Linked DNA regions of Mus musculus. The protein of the gene in region 2 interacts with the protein of the main gene of each other region in a pairwise test. Links are inferred from orthologs where the notes say so. Each region holds a gene or a part of one and is shown on either strand. Other genes may lie near its edges. The genes, in order: Rhoj and Pak2.

Region 1 (10,341 bases), on a different chromosome or scaffold from region 2:
TAGGCCTAACACTTAGTGTTTCTTCAGTTTATTATTTCTCTCACCTCTGTGGATTTGGCCTGGTTTCCATGGGCTATTCCTGCTGTTATGACTGCCTCTGAGTCCACCTTGGGCCAACTACCATTCAGTTTGGTGGAAAAAGTTAGAACCAGATTTCAGTTTTCTGTGAAAACAACTTCCTTTTATGTCTCACAAAGCTGATAGAGTAACTGGATCTTCCTCTTTTCCATGAATTGTGTTAACTTCCGGCACAGGCGGCCTGAGTTTGCAAACACTGGCTTAAAGTGGCTTCTTAAACAGAGTGACTTCTGATGACAGAGCTCTAGGTGGGAGGAGTGTTAGGAGAGAGACCCTTCAGACAGAATGCATTTCAGTACAGAGTGTGATGCAAATGGTGAAGTCTGTGGAGACATGCTTCAACTGGAGATGGCTACATACGCTGCCTAACAGCATATAATCCAACTGAACTCAGATGCAAGTTTTATTCTGATGCCATATGAAATGTTAATGGATATTTTATCAGTAAGGGGTTGGTCACAAAATTGAAGAACAAGAAGATATGCTCTTGTTGTATGCTAAACTCAACAACCCAGAGGCTGTTAGGGGATTTTAAGGAATCCTTGGATGGGCTTCGGAAGCAGTGTCCAATGGTGCTTTTAGAGCCTCATAACATACGCCATTTACCCTTTCTACCTTTATCCTGATGCTCCAACTCTGGAGTCCTAACCTTCAGTGGAACTTGGGTTATTCTTGTATATGCTCTGTTTATAAGAAGTACAACTGTTTGAGTGCATTACACCAAGTGCAGTCTAGCTTTGAGTGTAACACAGGTGGAGGAAATCGGGTGACATGTATACACTGTAGAGCGACACTATTCGATAGTTGTCACAATGTCCACTGAGGTCAAGATAATTATTACTGTATTATAGCTTCAGTAGGAGAGATGATTGTATAGAATATAAAACAAAACAAAACAAAAAACCCTACAAGATAGAATACATATAACAAATAGTTTCATATGTTCATTCTTAAAGAAATATATATTAGACTGGCATTATATATTTGTCAAAGTTTTATTTTTTTCCGGTGCTTGGGATCAAGTACAAGATCAGGTACTGAGGCCTGAGCATGTGTGGCAAGGCTTCTACTACAGAACCATGCCTTTAGTACTGTTCACCAAAGCTTTAGTGGACTAGAGATGACTCGAATGCTGGAGAGAACAAGAAGGTGAATGCTTAGAATCATGTCACTCAGTGATCATCTACTGAGAGTCTAATATGTCCCAAGCTCTGCTTTGAGAAGCTGAAGGTAGGAAATAAACAGACAACATTAAGTAGTATTAAATATGGTCAAGGACGGTATAGCAGAAAAAGAGGTCTCTCTCTCCTCTCCTTCTCTCCCTCTCCCCCCCCTCTCTCTCTCCCTCTCTCCCTCTCTCTCTCTCTCACGTGTATATGTGTATGTGTGTGTTTACTTGAACATGCACATGTATGAGTATGTGTGTGTGTGTGTGTGTGTGGGGACACAGGAACAGACACATGGCACAGACACATGGATTAAATTATGTGGCCAATTAATACTATGTCAGATATGGGCAGGGAGTGTCGGGCCAGGGTAAGAGTGAATGTCACATATTTAAGGAGTCTTCCATGAGAAATAGCAAGATGGGCTACTGTGGTTACAGAAGAAATACCGAGAAAATTGATAGAGGACTAGAAGAGAGAAAACAGGGACAAAGTCAGAGGACCTTGTACACTGTGGCAAAGGAGGAGTATGTGTTTGGGAGGAAAGGATGGGGGTGCTGGGACTGTGGATGGCTCTGTGTCAGCTGGGTGGAGACTCACAGTGGGCAGGGTTAGAAGAGGGAGTTGGGAGGCCACTATGCTGGTGTGGATGAGAGATGATGGTGGTGTGGATAGGAGAAAAGGCTATAAAAGGTCCTGACAAGTGGCAAAGGTTGGTTCTTGGTGCACTGTGAATGCTGAGCTCATATGTACGAGCAAGGGATGATAACTAATTGTTTGAATGGAGAGGAAGAGGAGGGATCAAAGGGAGCAAGGGGTCATGGGTGATACTGGTGTTTGTTCTCAGTCACTGGGCAGAAGAAACCAGCAGTGCTCTTACATGGAGAGGAAGGGAGGTGGAAGAGTGGATGGGAGACTTGAAGAAGCATTGGCTGGAGAGGCCTGTTAGATACATAAATGGATGTGTACAGTTATACAGATGAGTGTTCTGAGGCTGTTGGGGAGGGGCGGCAGATGCAAATACGAAATTGGTGGTATAGCAATGGCATCTTAAGCTGTGAAAGTAGATACTAACACCCAGGTTCCAAGGTTCACCAGAGAAGTGAGCCGAGGGACTGACGACTGAACTGTTACCACTGGGAGATGGGGGAGAGCGTTGCCAGGGGGTGGGACAGTAAAGGGAGGAAGTGCTTCAGAAGCCAAGCTAGGAATGTGTTTTAAGGAGAGTCACGAACCATCAAAGCATCTCTGGGGCAAGATGCCAGCTAGATGTGGCAGGAGATGACCTTCCTTTAAGGAGTCTCAGCACAGAGGGGGTTGCGGGGGTCGGGGGTGGGAGTAAGGAAGTAAAATATGACAGGGTGGTGCGGACTGCGCCTAGAGACGTAAACACATTTCTGGAGGTGACTGGACACAGATCAAGGACCCTCCTCAGACAATTCAGGAACGCCATATAGAATTAGTATACTGGTGTGCTTTTTTGGATTCTGGTAGTTTGGGATTCTGGTAGGTTGGAAGGACAGGCAAATCAGGAGTAATAAAACCTCAACCTTTTTTTTTTTTTTTTTACAGTTTTTTTTTCTGCTATCACTTTTGTATTTTTACCTCTTACGTTAACATCCCGTGACTACTATAGCCAGGGCCATTGGGTCTTACCTCCATGATGGCTATTTTATAAGGACAATAATACATCCTATCCTGCCCCGTACTTTCATTACAGGATACTCCTCTATCTCCGGTTGTAGTTCTTCTCTTTTAGTAACATTTTAATTTGATTTAATCACTGTATGTATTATTTGTATAGACTTTGATGTGATATGTGCCCCCCCCACATCTAACATTGTGTGTTGGGGGTCTAGAACTTTACACATATGAATGAATTCATTTCACTTTTAAAAACAATTCCAATATCTTTACGGTCCCTGGTTTTACCTTTCAGAACTGAGGCACAAAGAGGTTCAGTAACTTTCTCAAGGCCACAGAGTAAGTGACAGAGAAGGCAGTATTAGAGCCAGGTCATGTGGTATTGTTGTACTCAGTCCTACTACATTACATACTTTCCTGGCGTGGACCATCATTCGTGAACTATCTTTAAGAGACAGGCTGTCTTTGATTTCAACTGCAGTTTTTTTTTTTTCAAAAGACACGGCAGATGTGTTTCCTGTTGTTCTATCAGAGTGGGTCAGTAGGACCCAGGGAACTGAAAACTGGATCCAGATGCGAAAGGGGGCGTTTGGTTATTTTAGAACTGATCTGCTCCCTGATGGCCGCCCACGGGCTGATGCTCGGCCAGAGCAAGTATGAGCAGGGCTGGGTCCTTGGGATAGAAATCAGCACTCAAGAGTCTCTCGTGTGAGCGTGGCTCACGCCTTTCCCTGCTTTAACCACATGGATAGCACGTGAGATATCATGTATGAAAGAAGTATATAGAATAAACGGAAGTCACCATGTTCAGGAATGTCTACTGTGTACAAAGTACTGCTCTGAGTTTCGGGGCTGTGAGTTCTTGGAAGCTGAAATTATACAGTTTAGTTCCTGAAAAACTCAAGTATTAAAACTTCTTTGAGAGGTTTTGGTGCTCAACCACCAGCCAGTGTGCATATAATTGAAACATAAAGTAACCCAGTGCCAGCAAAGTCCAGCTGGTTTGACCTCTAATGTTTTTTTCCATCATAGGCTAGCTTTATTTCCAAAGATGGTTTTGTCTTTCTTCCCAACACCACTTCGATTGGCTCACCCGAAGGACGGGTATCTGGAGACATAATTTCCCAGGCACTAAGAGCCTTTCCTTTTAGTAGATTTTCGGTTCTGTCTTTGATCAGAAAGTTCCTGAAATAAAGTACTTGCCACCTTCCTGTCAAGCATGAAGAAGACACAGGAGAAATAATTTCTGCTATGATGTTTTTCAGGACCGGAATTAGAGTCCCTTCCTCAAAGCACTTTACAACATTTTTCCCCCTCAAGATAAACCTCTTTTTGTCTTTTTGTGTTCTCATTAAAAAGTTCTTCCTTGGCCAAACTCACTATGTTTTCAGAAAAGCTCAGGAATTTGGTCTTCAAATTTCTAGGTAATTTCTACAGAGTGAAAGACCTAATAGGAAATGGACGCCCTTGCCAGCTGCGAATCCCTCCCCTGTCAGCTGTGTACCACTGCTGCAAATAGGTCCACTTAAAAGGAAGGGAAGATGGGGGTGGGGGGAGCCCTCCAGAGAGGATGACAAGCGTCTGCTTCCTATGGAGGGAGGATTTCAAATGGCCACACAGCAGAGCTCCAGGCTGACTTCCTGTGAGGGCTTCCTTTAGGCTGATCCTGATCCCAAGCCAAGGTGAAGAGAGAGACATTTCCCTTCCACCAGACCCCAGAGCTCTGATAACTCAAGGGCAATCGATCGAAGTGTTCAAAAGCACTATAAAACTGAGGCCACAGTAAGTCCAAGGCAACGGGTCAGTTCACATAGGGGAAGCTTAGGGGTGGCAGCTATGTCAAGAAACAAGGCATGATGCTGACTGACATCACCACAAACCTTCAAACCCTCAAACACTAAAACTCCCCTGAAAGGATTAAGTTGTGACTACAGCATCGGGGTGATCACGGTTTAAAATACTAGATACTCAAATTTGTCTTTTCAGGACATAGTTGAAAACGATTTAATTGCATTTGAATTTTTTACTTTAAAAAACATAGCCATCTTTTACTTAATTTTCCACTTAGTATTTAAAAGCGTGGGACACTTTTCTCCTTATCTACCATCCCAGAAGAGTGAAAGTACAAAATTTAAGCCCCAAGTAATCCAGGAAAAAAAAAAAAGAAGGTTTTATTAGCTGGTTCTATTAGCCGTTTGATCATGACTAGCATGGAGTAGAAAAAGTTTAGAGAGTAGAACACTTTCCATGTGTCTAGCGGTGATTTTTTTAAAATGGAATATTTTGCAATACACTACACTTCAAAAAAAAATAATTACCGTGAAAAGTTGAAGAAAGTTTAGGCAAAAATGTTGAGAAACATTTCTGGAGGATATTTCCCCAGGATTGCACATTTGTTTCAATAGGAGAAGCATGTGAATGGATGTACAGGGTCTCCGCAGGATCCTAGCACCATTCTTGATGGAGTTACCTGGTACCTGCCAGATCCACATCAGTCTGTGACTTTCTGGCGAAAGCCAGGTCCCTCTGAACGCTAGGTAGCTGTGCCCAGAACCCCACCGCTCATCTAGACGGAGTTGGTCCCCACGCTTTCCTACCTGCGTAGTGGTCAAACACAGTGGGCACGTATTCCTCTGGGAAGGCGTCGTTGGCGTAGCTCATCAGCAAGCAGGTCTTCCCCACCGCGCCGTCCCCGACCACCACGCACTTCAGGATCCTGTTCTCCTCATGTCCATTGCAGCCGCAGCTGCTGTCGGTCCTCTCTCTGCAGCTCATGTTGGCGGCTCCCGCAGCAGCTGCTGGGGCTTCTGCAGTGCATGGAGCGGTGGCACCGGCCCCAGGCTGGAGCTCAGGCGGCCTGACTCTGGCTGGCCGGGCTCTCCCAGGCACAGCCCAGACACACTCGAGCCCCGCAGCTCACCATGCTGGAGAAGGAAGGCACTCTTGGGAGGAGGGATGAAAAGGGTCTGTCCCTTTCTCCCAATCCCAACGGAGAAGTGGAGTTGGGGGTAGAGCTGGAGTTAAGAAACTCTCATGTCCATAGACTTCCCGGGACTTCCTGGCAGTCTAGAAATATCAGCAGCCCGTGAGAATCTCACTCTACCCTCCCCATCCCCAGCCTGGCTAATGACACGGTGGGATTTGGATAACTCCTGCCCGGTTTTCCACCACACAACTAATATGGAGGAGAGAAGGGCTTTTAAACGGAGTTTCCCCCCCCTCGCTTCCTCCAGCTTGCCGAGTGTCAGGAAATCGTGGGTTTCCTGCTGCATTCCATATTAGGATCAGTGGGCCGGGGAAGGCGGCAACAATGGGGCTCTGTGCGTGTGTTTGGACTTCTGGGGAACCAGGCCAGGACACGGAGAGGGGAAAACACTAGGGGTCCTGCAGCCAGCTTAAGCTGTCAAACTTCCTGCTTTATCCCCTGCTAGCTAGCCAGGCTGCTGGCTTGTGGCTGGGAAGAAGCCAAAGAAGAAAGGATGGAACCCGGGGAGCAGTGTCTGCCGCGGAAACTAGGGAGAGGACTGAGTTTGAGAGCTTGAGGGAGCTGAGAGGACCTCATAGGGATTGCAGGCTAACATATGACGTCATCCTCCCTCCCTGACTCACCAGTTCAAATCGACAGTTTTTTTTTCCCTTAAACGAGAATCTCAAGCAATTCTTTTCCGCAACAAGGAAGGAAATCTTCCAGAGTCACACGATTTTGAAGAGGGGGGAACGTTGTGCAGGTTGTAGGTATATTATGAGTGACCAAGTTTACAAGTCTGTGTTTGAGCACAATGCTCAAATATACATTTCAGACTCCCCAAAACAACCCCAATGATTTTTTTTTAAACAGAGGAAATCAATCAGATATTGGGCTCAATCAGATATGCTGAGCTCAGGACTCACACTTTTGGAAGTGAGAGAGAGAGGCACATAGTGTGGCCTTTTGGCTTGGTTAGAGTCTCTAATGCTGTGTATGCATAGAGGCTTCTCCTTTTCTTCGAATCATCTCCCCCTGGGTAGGCCCAGCTCTCCTCAATGACACAGGCGCATAGCAGCCAGTTTGGTGCCTGAGAACGAAGCCCCATTTGATAATGGACAACGTGAACCTACAAATGATTTTGACGAATGGGTTAAAGTAAAAAAAACCCTTTGCTTTCCTATGAGATTTTGAAGATTGCAGATTATCTAAGGGCTTTGAGCGGTTTCACTGTGGCCGGGACGGGGAAAAGTCAGCTTTAGTGACTGTCAGTAACTTAGGTACCTACAACTCATGTGCATGCTGTCAAGGTACAGAGTCCACACCTCTTCTGTTTTGAATAGAGTAAAACTTGCCATGATGCTTGGTGCCCCAACATTTCTTTCCTATGAAAGAAAAACATTTCAATTAGGTATAGAGTGTATCAGGGATGTTATGTTACCATAACAATAATCCCCAAAGTTCAGAATTCGAAATAACTTTCTCTTTCTTCCTTCCTTCCTTCCTTCCTTCCTTCCTTCCTTCCTTCCTTCCTTCCTTCCTTTCGTTCTTTCTTTCTTTCTTTCTCTCTCTCTCTCTCTCTCTCTTTCTTTCTTCTTCTTCCTCCTCCTTTTCCTCTTCCCTCTTCTTTTCCTCCTTCCTTCCTTTCCTCCTCCTTTTTCTCCTCCCCTTCTCCTCCCCTCCTTCTCCTCTGCACCCTCCGTTTCCTTCTCCTCCACCTCCTTTTCCTCTTCCTCTTCCCTTTTCTCCTCCCTCCTTTTTCTCCTCCCCCTCCCCCTCCCCCCCTCCTGTGTATCTTGTATACAGCATTGTTCTTTTTATTCAGGGTTGGGGCTGATTGAACTGTCATGCACACCATGGCAGGTGAGGAAATGGACATGGAGAAACTCTGGCTCTGTTTTCTTTAGGAAGTGACCCTCTGCTAACATTCCCTGGCCAGAACAAGTTGCACGCTTATAGGGGCTCAACTGAAGGGTCAGAAGCATCATCCTACCCTGAGCTGGGAGGGAAGTACCACACACTGATGAACAGCTTGAATGACAGACAGAGATCACTTATTTGACTCTACTTGGAGTGTAAATGGATCATATGAAGCCCCGTTGTGAAGCACGTGAAGGCCCCCACAGTTGCCTGTAGTTGGTGTAATTTTATTTCCAGTTAGTCTTTCTGGGGACCGCAGGGTATGCAGGGAATTGTAATTTAGAAACTTCTGTTATACTTTTGATAGAAGGCTTTGAGGATGAAGGAGGTAGTCACACAAACCTGTGCAGGTTAAAAGGTGATTGATTGGCAGTGCAAACATCCCTTCTCCCCCAAACTTAAAAGACCCCCAAACCTGCTGCTTGGAAGTGAACAGGATCTTCCGAGCACAATGTGATGATACAGTGGTTGGCAGAGCTGTGAGCAGGGTCTTCCTTGGCCTTTAGGCTGAGAGTGGCAGAACCTACACCTGCACACTATAGATATCGGCTATAGAGGCTTTTGGTGAGGTTGCTATTTCCATGTGTAACTAAATCTTGCACCATGGGGCACAGACAGTTAAGTCCATTCTTATGGTCATGCGGACTTTGTACTGCGACCTTTAAGACACTTCAAGAAGCTAGTTCTGTGTCTCTTCATCTGTGGAGTGGTACTTATGCCAGGCTGGAAGACATATGGAAGGCAAATGGCTTATAGCTCTGGAGAATGTTGGCTGTATTTCTCACTATAAAGTTGTTTTATCACCATTTAACAAAAATGTAACAATTATAGAAGGAAGTTTTGAGTATTCTATTAAAAAATAACAAGAAGATAAAATTTTAGTATTTTAGACTTACTGTTAAGTGGATTACACTGTCTATGAAAATACATCATTTTTAATATTAAAACCTTTAGACAACAAGACTGCCATGAAAACTGGGCCAGGTGGGGTACTCCTTTAAGTCCAGCACTCAAGGGGTGAATCTCTGAGTTCAAGGAAAGTTGGTCTATAGCCTGACTATATGTAAGCCAGTCAGGGTTATATAGTCAGACCCTGTCTCAAACATAATGAAAGTCTAAAGCAACAGCAATGATGACTGAGACAACAACAACAACCCTTACATGAACCTGAATCTTAAAATTTTACTATTGTTCTTACAGGTTCAGGAAACGATAGAGGTGTGTATGGTTGGCCAGGTAGAATGACCAAGAGTGTCCTTCCATTCTAAACATTTGCCTATATGAGTTTGGAAGTGGTATGAAGACTGCTGTCTAACATGCTCGTAGGCAGATGTCTGTACTTTTGGGTCTAGAGCCATGCAGATGATTGACTGGTGGTTACAAAACCATTAATTATTTGGTTTACCTCACCGCTAAGTTTATCCAAACTTAACAGCACATGGTGAAATCTTGTTGGGTGATATTTTTTGCTTTTTCCAACAGACCTTAATCCCCTGGCTCATTCCTGTTCACTGTGCTTTGGTTTTACAGGAATTTCTGTAAATGTCAGCTCAAACAGACACACACACAGTCACACAGTCACACTCACACTCACACACACACACACACACAGTCACACACTCACACATACATATACTCACTCTGTATCACACATGCACTCTTTCTAACTCTGTTACATATACTATACACATGCACACACTCTCTTTCAAAATACACACTCTCAGACATGCATTCACTTACATATACACACTTTTTCTCTCTCACACACTCACACATACACATTCTCTTTCATATGCATACACTCTCACACTCACATGCACTCACATACACACACACACTCACATACACATTCTGTCTCACACGCCTTGGCTCTCTTACACACTGTCTCACATGTACTCACATACACACACACTCTTACACACACACACACACACGCACACGCACACGCACGCGCACACACACACACACACACACACACACATCGTATCTTGCATAAATTCTGACTCATCTGACTTAGTCCAGTTTTCTTGTGACTTTAAAAGAAGGAAGAACCTTGACTTCTTTCCTTGTTTTCCTACCAGAGGTTGCACAGGGAAGTAGTGTAACTGGGTCAGATCTTATTCTGGGACAGTCTTTCTGTGGCAGTATTTTGATTCCAGGTTTATAAACGTGCAGTGTGTTATGATTCTGGTTATTCGAGGGCACCTAGAAGTCTCTAGCCACCTACATTCCATAGAAAGTTCTCTCAGAGGCTAAGCAGTCTCTAACAGTGATGGGAAGATGTGAATTGGGAACAACAACACTCTGTAGTTGTAAGGCTTCTGACCCAAATATCCTCGACTGGCTAGGACACTAACACTGAACAGAGTGTTCTAGCTTGGACTGGAACTGCCCCTTCCCAAGGGGGATGAGTCATCTCCATCTGGGATGCTCATGTGTCTGTGTTCTGCATCTTTTGAGTCACTGTGCTCAGCTTCCAGTTATCGCCGATGTCATGTACCATGTCATGGTGTGTCTTATCGGCCGAAGTCTCTGGGATATGCTTTTTAAAAAAAATTATATAGAAGG
Region 2 (10,341 bases):
ATCTCCCTTGTTTATATCTCCCTTGTTTTTATATCTCCCCCGAACCCTGGGCCTCTCACTCTTTTATACTCTCAGTTCTCATCCATGCACAGCAGGCCACGCCACCTCACCAGGCACGCAGCTTCAGCTAATCAGGGCAGCAGGGGCAAATCTCCACCAAATTGGATTCACCTGTATCCTGGTACACCTGTGCAGCTCTCAAGATGTTTGTGGCTTATATGAGGAAGTCAGGTGCAAGTCATACGACTTAGCTACAGTCCCTGGCGCCTTTAGGACTGCCGCCACACCTGCTCCTAACAACAGACCACACCCATATTCTGGTGCAAGTCTTTCTGATCACCCCTTCTCTTAACCCTCTCTTAGGCCTATTTAAGCTGTCTAAAAATAACCCTTCATTATCCTACTTTCCAGAAATAACCCTTCTAACATTTTCACACTAGAGTTAAATGACACTACTTAAGGATAAAGATTCTTGATTGATTGATTGATTGATTGATTCTTTCTTTCTTTCTTTCTTTCTTTCTTTCTTTCTTTCTTTCATTCTGGGCACTGTGTCTTTAATAATCAGCTCTTGGGAGGCAGAAGCAGGTGGGTCTTACTGAGTTCAAGGTCAGTTCCTGGTTTATAAGCTTTATAAGAGTTCCAGACTATAGGTGGAACAACACTATGAACTAACCAGTACCCTGGAGCTCTTGACTCTAGCTGCATATATATCAAAAGATGGCCTAGTCAGCCATGACTGGAAAGAGTGGCCCAATGGACTTGCAAACTTTATATGCCCCAGTACAGGGGAACGCCAGGGCCAAAAAGTGGGAGTGGGTGGGTAGGGGAATGGGGGGGAGGGTATGGGGGACTTTTGGGATAGCATTAAATGTAAATGAGGAAAATACCTAATTAAAAAAAATCTAAATAATATCTGCGGGTAGCTCAGAGAAAAAAAAATGGTGTTCAAAACAATATGAACTAACCAGTAACCCCAGAGCTCCTGTCTCTAGCTGCATATGTAGTAGAAGATGGCCTAGTCAGCCATCATTGGGAAGAGAGGCCCCTTGGTTTTGCAAACTTTATATGCCCCAGTACAGGGGAACCCAAGGGCCAAGAAGTGGGAGCTGGTGGGTAGGGGAGCAGGGTAGAGGGAGGGTATAGGGGACTTTCGGGATAGCGTTTGAAATGTAAATGAAGAAAATATCTAATAAAAAATTGGAAAAAAAAAGTTCCAGACTAGACAGAGTTATATAGTGAGACTGTTTGAAAAACAACAAAACACTAATGTATTTATTTTGTGCACAAGTTTGCTCGATATTAGGGTGAAGATTTAGTCCTGGTTTTGAGCACAGATCATGGCAAGGCTAACCAGAGCCAGTGAACACTGTGGGAAAAAGGCTCCTGATGGCACACACATTAGCCAGAAGTCACACCTGACTTTTAAAAATTAAGAAGGAATGTTCCAGGTATGCAAAGGAAACATCAAATGTAGATAAATTCTGCAATCCACATTGTGATACCATCTCTCCTCCTTGGCCTCCATCCAAGCTCCATCCTCTCAGAATAAAACATGACCAACAATGAATTTAAGTGAGAACACATAAGTAACAAAGATTACTAAAAACTAAAAAATGAACAAACACTTTGAAATCTAGCTTCCCTTAAGTTTGGTCAAACTCTAAACAGCAATTCAAATATAGGAAAGGAAAAAAAAAAAAACCAACACACACAAACAGAGGGTGAGAGAGGCAGTAAACACCTAAGCACAGCTTCATGCAGTAGCAAAGAGGAACAAATTGGGACAACACGACTCTCTCAAAAGGAATGCCCACACAGTCTAAAACAAAGTACTGTTTAACGGAGAATGAAGGTCAAGCCTGAGTTAACTAAGCAACATGTCTTTCTTCCTTTCTTTTGAATAGAACTCCCAGTCTTTCATCCCAGCCTCTGGCGTGCTGGGATTACAGGTTTGTGCTACCACTCCTGCAGTATACTATATTTTAACAATCCAGAATAAGCTGGAGAGATGGCTCAATGGTTCAAATGATGGGAGTGTTAGCATGAGGACCAGAGTCCAGATCCCTAGAACACGTTCCTATAAATGCCAGGTAAGGTGTTGACTTGCTGGAAATCCCAGATCCTAAGAAGGTGGACACACTGGGGGAACCCCCGAAGCAAGCTAGTTTACCAGACTAGCCCTACTGACAAGCTGTGTGTGGGGTTCAGCTAGAGATACTGACTCAACGGATAAGGGATCAGGGAAGACACCCTATGTCAACTTGGGACTTCCATACACATACAAGTACATATGTGCCCATGAGTGTTAGTGCTGTGTCTCTGTCCTGTCTCTGTCTCTCTCTCTGACACACACATACACAAAGCAAACACGGCAGGGAACGTAGCGCAGTGGTCAGAATGTGCTTCGAATACGCCATCTCAGGTTGGGTAAGGGGAGCAATCTAGTAAGTACAATCATCAAATATGAAAAGTCACGTTTTAGAGAAAAAAATTGTTTAAATATTTATTTTATTTTAATGTATATGTATGTCACTGTATGAGTGAACAACATGTAGATAAAGTGCCCATTGAGTCCAGAAGACGGTGTTAAATCTGGATGAGGGTTTTGGGACCCAAAGTTTAGGTCTTCTGAAAGAGCAACAAGCACTCTTTTTAAGACTGCTCTTCTGGCCGGGCGTGGTGGCTCACGCCTTTAATCCCAGCACTTGGAGGGCAGAGGCAGGCAGATTTCTGAGTTCGAGGCCAGCCTGGTCTACAGAGTGAGTTCCAGGACAGCCAGGGCTACACAGAGAAACCCTGTCTCGAAAAAAAAAAGGGGGGGGGGGATAAATAAATAATACAAAGACTGCTCTTCCAGAGGACCAGGGTTCAAGTCCCAGAATCCACAGCTCACAACTAACTGGAACTCCAAGATCTAACACCCTCACACAGACTGTTACATGCAGGCAAAACACCAATGTGCATAAAGTAAAAATAAATAAGCTGTTAAAAAAAAAAAAGAACCCCATCCCCAAAAAAGACAAAGTAAAGAAGGTAACTTCATAGAACATGGGTTCAATAAAATTTTTAAAATTATCTTTTACAACATATTTTTTAAACACCCATTTCAGAATAAAACCATAGCAGGTTATTCTTGAGAGTATGTAACCAAGACCAGGTTCCAACTCTCTATCCTTCTGCCTCAGCCTCCCAAGTACTGGGATTACAGGCATGTGTGCTATCCACCAGACTACATGCAACTTAAAAGAGAGAACAAAACCAAAATGCAAGAAAGACAAAGCTTAATAATATATTGAGTGAAAAAGGAACAGAGAAGTTTTAAAAACACAATCCAAGACAGAACAGAGCAAAATAGCACATACCTATAATGCTAGTTATCCCAGCACTAAGAGGGTGGCGAGACCAGGCCAGTAGGATCAAAAGTTCAAACTCATCCTCAGCTACATAGGGAGTTCTAGGTCAGCTTGGGCTACATGAGATTCCTCAAGAAGAAAATATGTGGACCACCAAACAGACGCATATACCAGCTGATATGAGATCCCTAACACACATACAGTAGAGGACTTCCAGGTCTGTGTTCCTTCAGAGATGATGCACCTAACCCTCAAGAGACTGGAGGCCCCAGGGAGTTTAGAGGTCAGGTGGGGTGGGGGGCTGGGGCATCCAGGTGGCAATGAGGTGGGGTGGGGAGAAGGTGTGGGATGTGGAGCAGTCGGAGGGTGGATAGGGAGGGGTGGGGAAATGTAATTTGGAGTGTAAAAAATGAATTACAAATAAAATTTAAAAAAAGAAGAAGAAGAAGAAGAAAATACCTGAGACTGGTGAGGTCGGTAAAGGTGCCTGATGCAAGCCTGACAGTTCATCCACAGAACCCACACGGGGAGAACTAGATTCTGCAAGGTGCCCTCTGATGCACTTGTGCCCCCACCAGAAACAAATACCAAAAATAAGTATAGATGCAAAAATATTAAATAAGACAACTATTTTACTGATAACATATGATCTATAAAAAAAAGATCTCAAAAAACGCAGAACCTACTTGTCACCAAACAATACTACATTATAAAGTCATCAGTTAAGTGAGTGAGGAGACAAGCCACAGACCAGTAGAATGTCCACAAAAAAGTTCCTGATATAAAAGACTATTACATGAAACACATACAAAGAACCCATTACCCAGTGACAGGAAAATGAACAACTCTATTAAGAATGGACAAAATAGCTCCTGAGACACCCTATCAAAGATGACATACAAATGGCACAGCAGCAAATGAAAAGATGTTCAACATTACACATCACTGTGAGATTTTAAGAAACAATGAACAAGCACATACTGCTGATACATGTTTTAGAAAAGATAAAATCTACATACTTGCAAGGATGTGGAACTCAAGAAAATATAGCTTTGAAAACTGTACTGAAGTTTCTCATGAAAATAAATGTATCACTGCCACAATCTAGCTCCTTAATTTAACCCCCTCAGTTGAAGAGTTAAGTCTTTATGAGAAGACATTCAATGTCGCTAGTAATTACGACAATGAAATATGTCATACACAGTAAGATGGCCACTATGAAAAAACTTAAACACAGCCAGAGGTGGCTGTGGTGGTGATGCACGCCTTTAATCCCAGCACTTGGGAGACATAGGCAGGCGGATTTCTGAGTTCGAGGCCAGCCTGGTCTACAAAGTGAGTTCCAGGACAGCCAGGGCTACACAGAGAAACCCTGGGGGTGGGAGGGGGTAGTTAGAAGTAAGCCTCTGTTTAGGGGGTGATTTTTTTCCCCTTGACTTTAATTCTTTTATTTGGTGTTCCTGAGACAGTGAGTATGTATGTAGCCTGGCTGACCTTGAACTCATGATGATCCCCATTTCTGAGCCATCCAAGTACTATGATTATAGGTTGAGCTACAATGGCCTATTTATCTTGATTTTAAAATTGGAAAAAAGAACCCTTGTATATTGATTTCCATATGCATAATATGGTGATGCCTCATCTTTCTTTTATTCATTTTTTAAAGATTTATTTATTTCATGTACGTAGGTACACTGTCACTGTCTTCAGACACAGCAGGAGAGGACATTGGATGCCCATTACAGATGGCTGTGAGCCACCATGTGGTTTCTGGGAATTGAACTCGGGACCTTCGGAAGAGCAGTCAGTGCTCTTAACCACTGAGCTACCTCTCCAGCCCCAATGCTTCATCTTTCTAACGGTTATGAGCTACTCTAGTATATGGTACTCTCATCTGTGCTCATTTATAATTCTCTAATTCTCACACTGCTGGTCACTGGAGAAGAGGGGATCTTTACTGAGAAGTCTCCATCAAATTGACGTGGAGGCATTTTCTTTAATGATTGATGAGGGAGGGCCCAGTCCACTGTGGACAATGCCACTCCTGGGCATGTGGTACCATGTTATATAAAAAGCGAGCTGAGCTAGCTAGCCGTAGACAGCAAGCCAATAAGCACTGCCCCGCCACGGTCTGTGCCTCAGTTCCCAGCAACAGGTTCTTGCCTGAGTTCCTGCCCTGACTTTCCTCAATGATACACTGACTATAAACTACTCTAAGATGAAATAAACTGGTTTTAGACATGGTGTTTATCACAGCAATAGAAAACAGACACAAAGCCATGGTCAAACAGACAGAAACCCTGGCTAAACTTAATGGATCTCAAAAAAAAATAAAAAAGACAAAACAACAACAAAAAAAGTCCATTACATATATCATAACCTATGATATATAGGTAAGTAAAGAGACTTGTAAGGGAGGGAGTCTGACAGATGGGAAGTTAAGGGTTACAATAATCAGAATTCCCTTCCCTAAATACATGTATGAAACTGACTCAAAGAACAAACTCAAAAAAAAAAAAAAAAAAGGTATCTTGCCCAAGACTAATTAGAAGAGCCAACATTCAAACTCAGGTCTCCAGCTCCTGGGACACACAGAGTAAGTTTCACTACACAAGACAGGAAAGAACTTTACAATACTGAATGAACGTCCAGGCTAATTACCAAACCAGGAAGTGGTGGTACACACCTTTAGTCCCAGCACTCAGGAGGCAGAGACAGGTGAATCTCTAAGTTTGAGGCCAGCCTGGTTTACAGAGTGAGTTCCAGGCAGCCAGGACTACAGAGAGAAACCCTGTCTCAAACAAAAAAAAAAAAAAAGAAAGAAAGAAAGAAAAGAAAAAAGAAAGAAAGGAAATGAAGCAGTGAGACTAATTTTGATCACAGAAAGCTATTTCGTGATTATAATTAAGGGACATTTTTATCTTCTCTCTCTGCTCTTAAAGAGGCTTAAAAAATAAAAAGGAAGGGCAGGCAGGAGAGGTGGCTCAGTCCAGCACCCAGCATCCTTGGCAGCTCTCAACTGTCTGCAACTCCAGTCCCAGGAATCTGACACCCTATATGGCCTTCATAGGCACCCACATGGTACATATACACACATGCAGGCAAAACACACTTACACATTTTTTTTTTTAAATCTTTAAAAAGTTAGGAATTTCACCTCCGAGAACTCAGAAGCACAGTCTGCAAGTAGCAACTCCCCTCTAATCAGACAACCATCAGTTACTTCTGTAACTAGCAGTGCTTGAGGAGAGAAAGGCCTGACCTAGTCTCAAGACTGGAACACAGTCCAATTTGAACCAAAGCCAGAAAACTGAAAGCACCGAGTACGGAACATTATTACTGTAATAACCAATACTGATGAAGATAGTAAGGATTCAGCCATAGCTACTAGTTTTATACTTGGCAATTATTTCAAGCTCCTGCATTTTGTAAAAGTATAACTCAGAGTTTATCTTTAGCTAACCAGAACAAGTTTTAAATTTCCTCATTTAAAACACGTAAAACTAGCCTTCATCATGTCTAGTTGGAAACTTGCCTATCATAAAAATCAAAGAAACACGAGAACCTTTTATCAGACATATATCAACTAAAAACTATCACTTCATGAATTTAGGTTTCAGGACACGGATCACAAAGCCCAGAAGAATTAATCTCTTTCTCTCAAAAGGTAAATCTGGAATCAAGGCCCCAAGATAAGTGAAATACCCAAGAATTCTCTTTTTAAAAACATGTCTGCTTGCCCAACACAATGGTAATCTCACTGGCTAGGATTCTGACGCAGATCTTAAGTCCAGAAGTTTGAAACAAACCTGGGTATCATAGAAAGAGGCTGTCTCCAAAGAAAAACAAACAAATACCTGCTTTTGGAAACAAATGAGATATTCTGCAGGCACAGGCTTGCAATCCCAGCTACTAGGGAGGTTGAGAAGAAAACCCCAGTTCAAGGCTTACCTGGTAGGGAAGAGATTCAATACCAGCCTGGGAAACAGTGAGACTGTCTGCACAGAGAAGAGAGGGCTGGGCTTGTAACTCAGTGCTGCAAAGAACACTTGCCTAGCATCACAGGGAGGTCTGCGGTTCAATCCGGTACAAGGGGTTAAAAAGGAGAAAGAAACAGCAGAAACTAACTTCAAGGTACTTTTTCATTCCCTGACATTCCTCCCTAGTGTCAAGACAACTCACTAACCTAAGAACAACCCACAGTACCAAAGGATGGCAGTACTTGATACTAATCCATTTCCCCCATAGCCTGGCAGAGGGAAAGGTAATAATGTACTAGTGAAAACAAGAAGAAAACATTTTTAATTTTGGGCAACCTCTTTTACCAAAACCCAAAAGTTACATTTTCTATCTATCTAAGCAACAATATAAAATTCAGTTTCCCTGATGTAAATGTACAATAGTGTTCCTGGCTAATTAATCTCTAGAAAGACCTAAAAAGAGAGGCTACCAAATATGTTGGCTAACACGTGTAATCCCAGCACACAAGGCTGAGACAGGAAGAGTGTCACAACAGCCTGAGCTGGAATGAGGCCCTGTCTAGGAAAGGCAGAGGATGGGTATAAAAGTATACGAAAAAGGCTTCCTTCACACACACACACACACACCCCAACTGAAGAACTGGGGTAGAGACAAGCAAGAATGTTCTACAAATGCCACAGAGCTTCTGGCAAAGTTGACGTGCCCTAACCTGTTTTAAAAATTACTACTCACTGCCTTCATCCCAACCTAATTTTATTCATACTATTCTTTTGGATAGCTCTACCAAAAAAAAAAAAAAAAAAATCCCCAGAGCAAATTCTTGTGTATTTATTTCAATATCCTGCCTACTTTATAAGAGCGGAAGAGTCGAATACAGCAGGGGAAAAACGTGACGTGCACAACCTTCACCCAAAACACAGCTCAGCTCGTCGTTGTCTAATTTTGGGCCTAACCGGTTTGGTTGTCTTTTTTTAAAAGGTTAGAAACGAAAAGCTGGAAAATCTACAGGTCACTTGTAAAGAAGAACCTGGCGGCTATCGATGGGAGTTGGTGATTTGTCAAAGAGGAAACAAATCTCACTTCCACTCTACCTAGTTCTATTAAGACAGGGGATGGAGAGAGCCTCCTTCCCATCAAGCCACAATGGCAATTATTTAACACACTTCTGTCTTGGACGACTTGATCTAGAACTAATCAAAAGGCTGAGTCCATTAAGTTATTTGCAGCAACTTTTTTTTTTTCTTGTGAGGGCGCGCGTGTTTCAGACAGCCAAACATGGTGAAAAGCCAACCTCAGCCCAAGTTAACCTTAAGAAGCAAATATTCACCTCCTGGCTAAAGATCAAGCAAAAACCGTAAGATCCTTAACTTCTGTTCTTAAACGCAGGCTCCCAGAGCCCGGCAAAAACTTTTTCCTAATGTGGAGGAGGAGGAAGAGTTTACACACTGAACTTAAGGAGCTCGCGACAGGATTCCCGAGCGACGAGACTGCAGAGAACGCAGCTGGTAAAGGAGGGAACATCCAGGAACAAACCCGAGTCGTCCGGTGCAGCGCCGGCGGGAGAGAAGGGCAAGGACGGCCGGAGTGGCCAGGGTCCCCACAGCCCAGCAAGCTTCCTCTCGGCCGAAGCTTAGAGCCAGGGCGCAGACAATGAGCCACCGCCCGGAGCCGCGGGCCCGCCCGCAGGTGCTGGCGTCCCGGGCCGCTGGGCCCAGGCCGCGGAGGCGGGAGGAGGGCGGCGGCTCGGCCCGGCCCGGCCCGGCCCGGGCGAGCGGCAACCGCACTTACCAGAGAGGAAAGGTCTCCGCCCGACCCAGGGCGGGCTGCTTGGCCGACGCGGGCGAGCACTGCGCTGGGGCGCTGAGAGGGAGGAGGGCAGGGCGGAGGGGAGCGGCGCGGGGCGCGGCCGTCGCTACCGAGGCCGTGAGGCGCAGAACCCCTTGGGCCAGGGAGGGGAGGGCAGGAGCCTTCGGCAATGGCGACGGCCCGGGCCGGAGGGGAAGCGGAACAACCGCTGCCGCTGCGCGTGGCCACAACCCTGGGGGAGGGCGGCGGCGGGGGCGCGGGGCGGGGCCGTAAGACAGCCCCGCCCTGAAAGTGGCGTCATGACCCGAGGGGCGGGCTTTCACAGGGCGGCTGGGAACCGTAGTCTAGTCATCTGTTAGGGAGACTCAGGACAGTGGGCGTTACAGAGAAAACCTGTCCCTCATTTATCAGCATTCTGCATTGTCTGCAGTTACGGTTTACCTACTGACAAAGCTGACGGAGAACAGCTGATCCAAACATATTTGTGTGTAGAGGGTCTTTGTTTCTGAGAATGTATCCATTCACCAATTGGTGTTTTGTGGGGAGGGATGGCTTTTCGAGTCCTGGCTGTCCTGGAACTCACTCTGTAGTCCAGGCTGACTTTGAACTAGAGATCCTCCTGCTTCTGCCTCCTGAAGAGGTACTGCCCAGCTCACTTTGTTTTTTGGTTTGGTTTGGTTTGGTTTGGTTTTTTGGAGGCAGGGTTTCTCTGTATAGCCCTGGCTGTCCTGGAACTCACTTTGAAGACCAGGCTGGCCTCGATTAAAGGAATGCGACGCCACCGCTTTTTTTTTTCCTACAAATTTAACCAGATTAAGTTGAATCAGATTATGCTGCTAAATTAGGTCCTCCCTCTTTGCAAAACAAAGATTTTTTTATTTTTCTGTATTTTATCAATGGAGGAGTTAATTCATGTATTCTTATTCCACAACTATGTCAATATCTAATATCTACAAAAGACCATTTAGGTACCAGAAATGAACATGCTTCACCTAGTCTTTGTAAAGGTTAAAAACATGAAAACGGTGGTGGCGCACGCCTTTAATCCCAGAACTCGGGAGGCAGAGGCAGGCAGATTTCTGAGTTCGAGGCCAGACTGGTCTACAGAGTGAGTTCCAGGAAAGCCAGGGCTATACAGAGAAACCCTGTCTCAGAAAAAAAACAACCAAAAAAACGTATGAAAACATAAAAACCAAAA

Evidence for each region.
Region 1: the proteins of Pak2 (region 2) and Rhoj interact in binary tests that used the Homo sapiens proteins (3 or more experiments, as listed by UniProt). The two-hybrid records come from large-scale screens. The link is inferred for Mus musculus from reciprocal best matches to the Homo sapiens genes PAK2 and RHOJ.

The regions. Positions count from the first base shown.
Region 1 is NC_000078.6:75,304,146-75,314,486, reverse strand, and holds the start of Rhoj (rho-related GTP-binding protein RhoJ), read right to left. Parts: upstream 6,175-10,341; 5' UTR 5,664-6,174; coding exon 5,486-5,663; intron 1-5,485.
Region 2 is NC_000082.6:32,069,963-32,080,303, forward strand, and holds the start of Pak2 (serine/threonine-protein kinase PAK 2), read right to left. Parts: upstream 9,381-10,341; 5' UTR 9,126-9,380; intron 9,090-9,125; exon of another isoform or gene 8,871-9,089; intron 1-8,870. UniProt on the Homo sapiens protein: Serine/threonine protein kinase that plays a role in a variety of different signaling pathways including cytoskeleton regulation, cell motility, cell cycle progression, apoptosis or proliferation.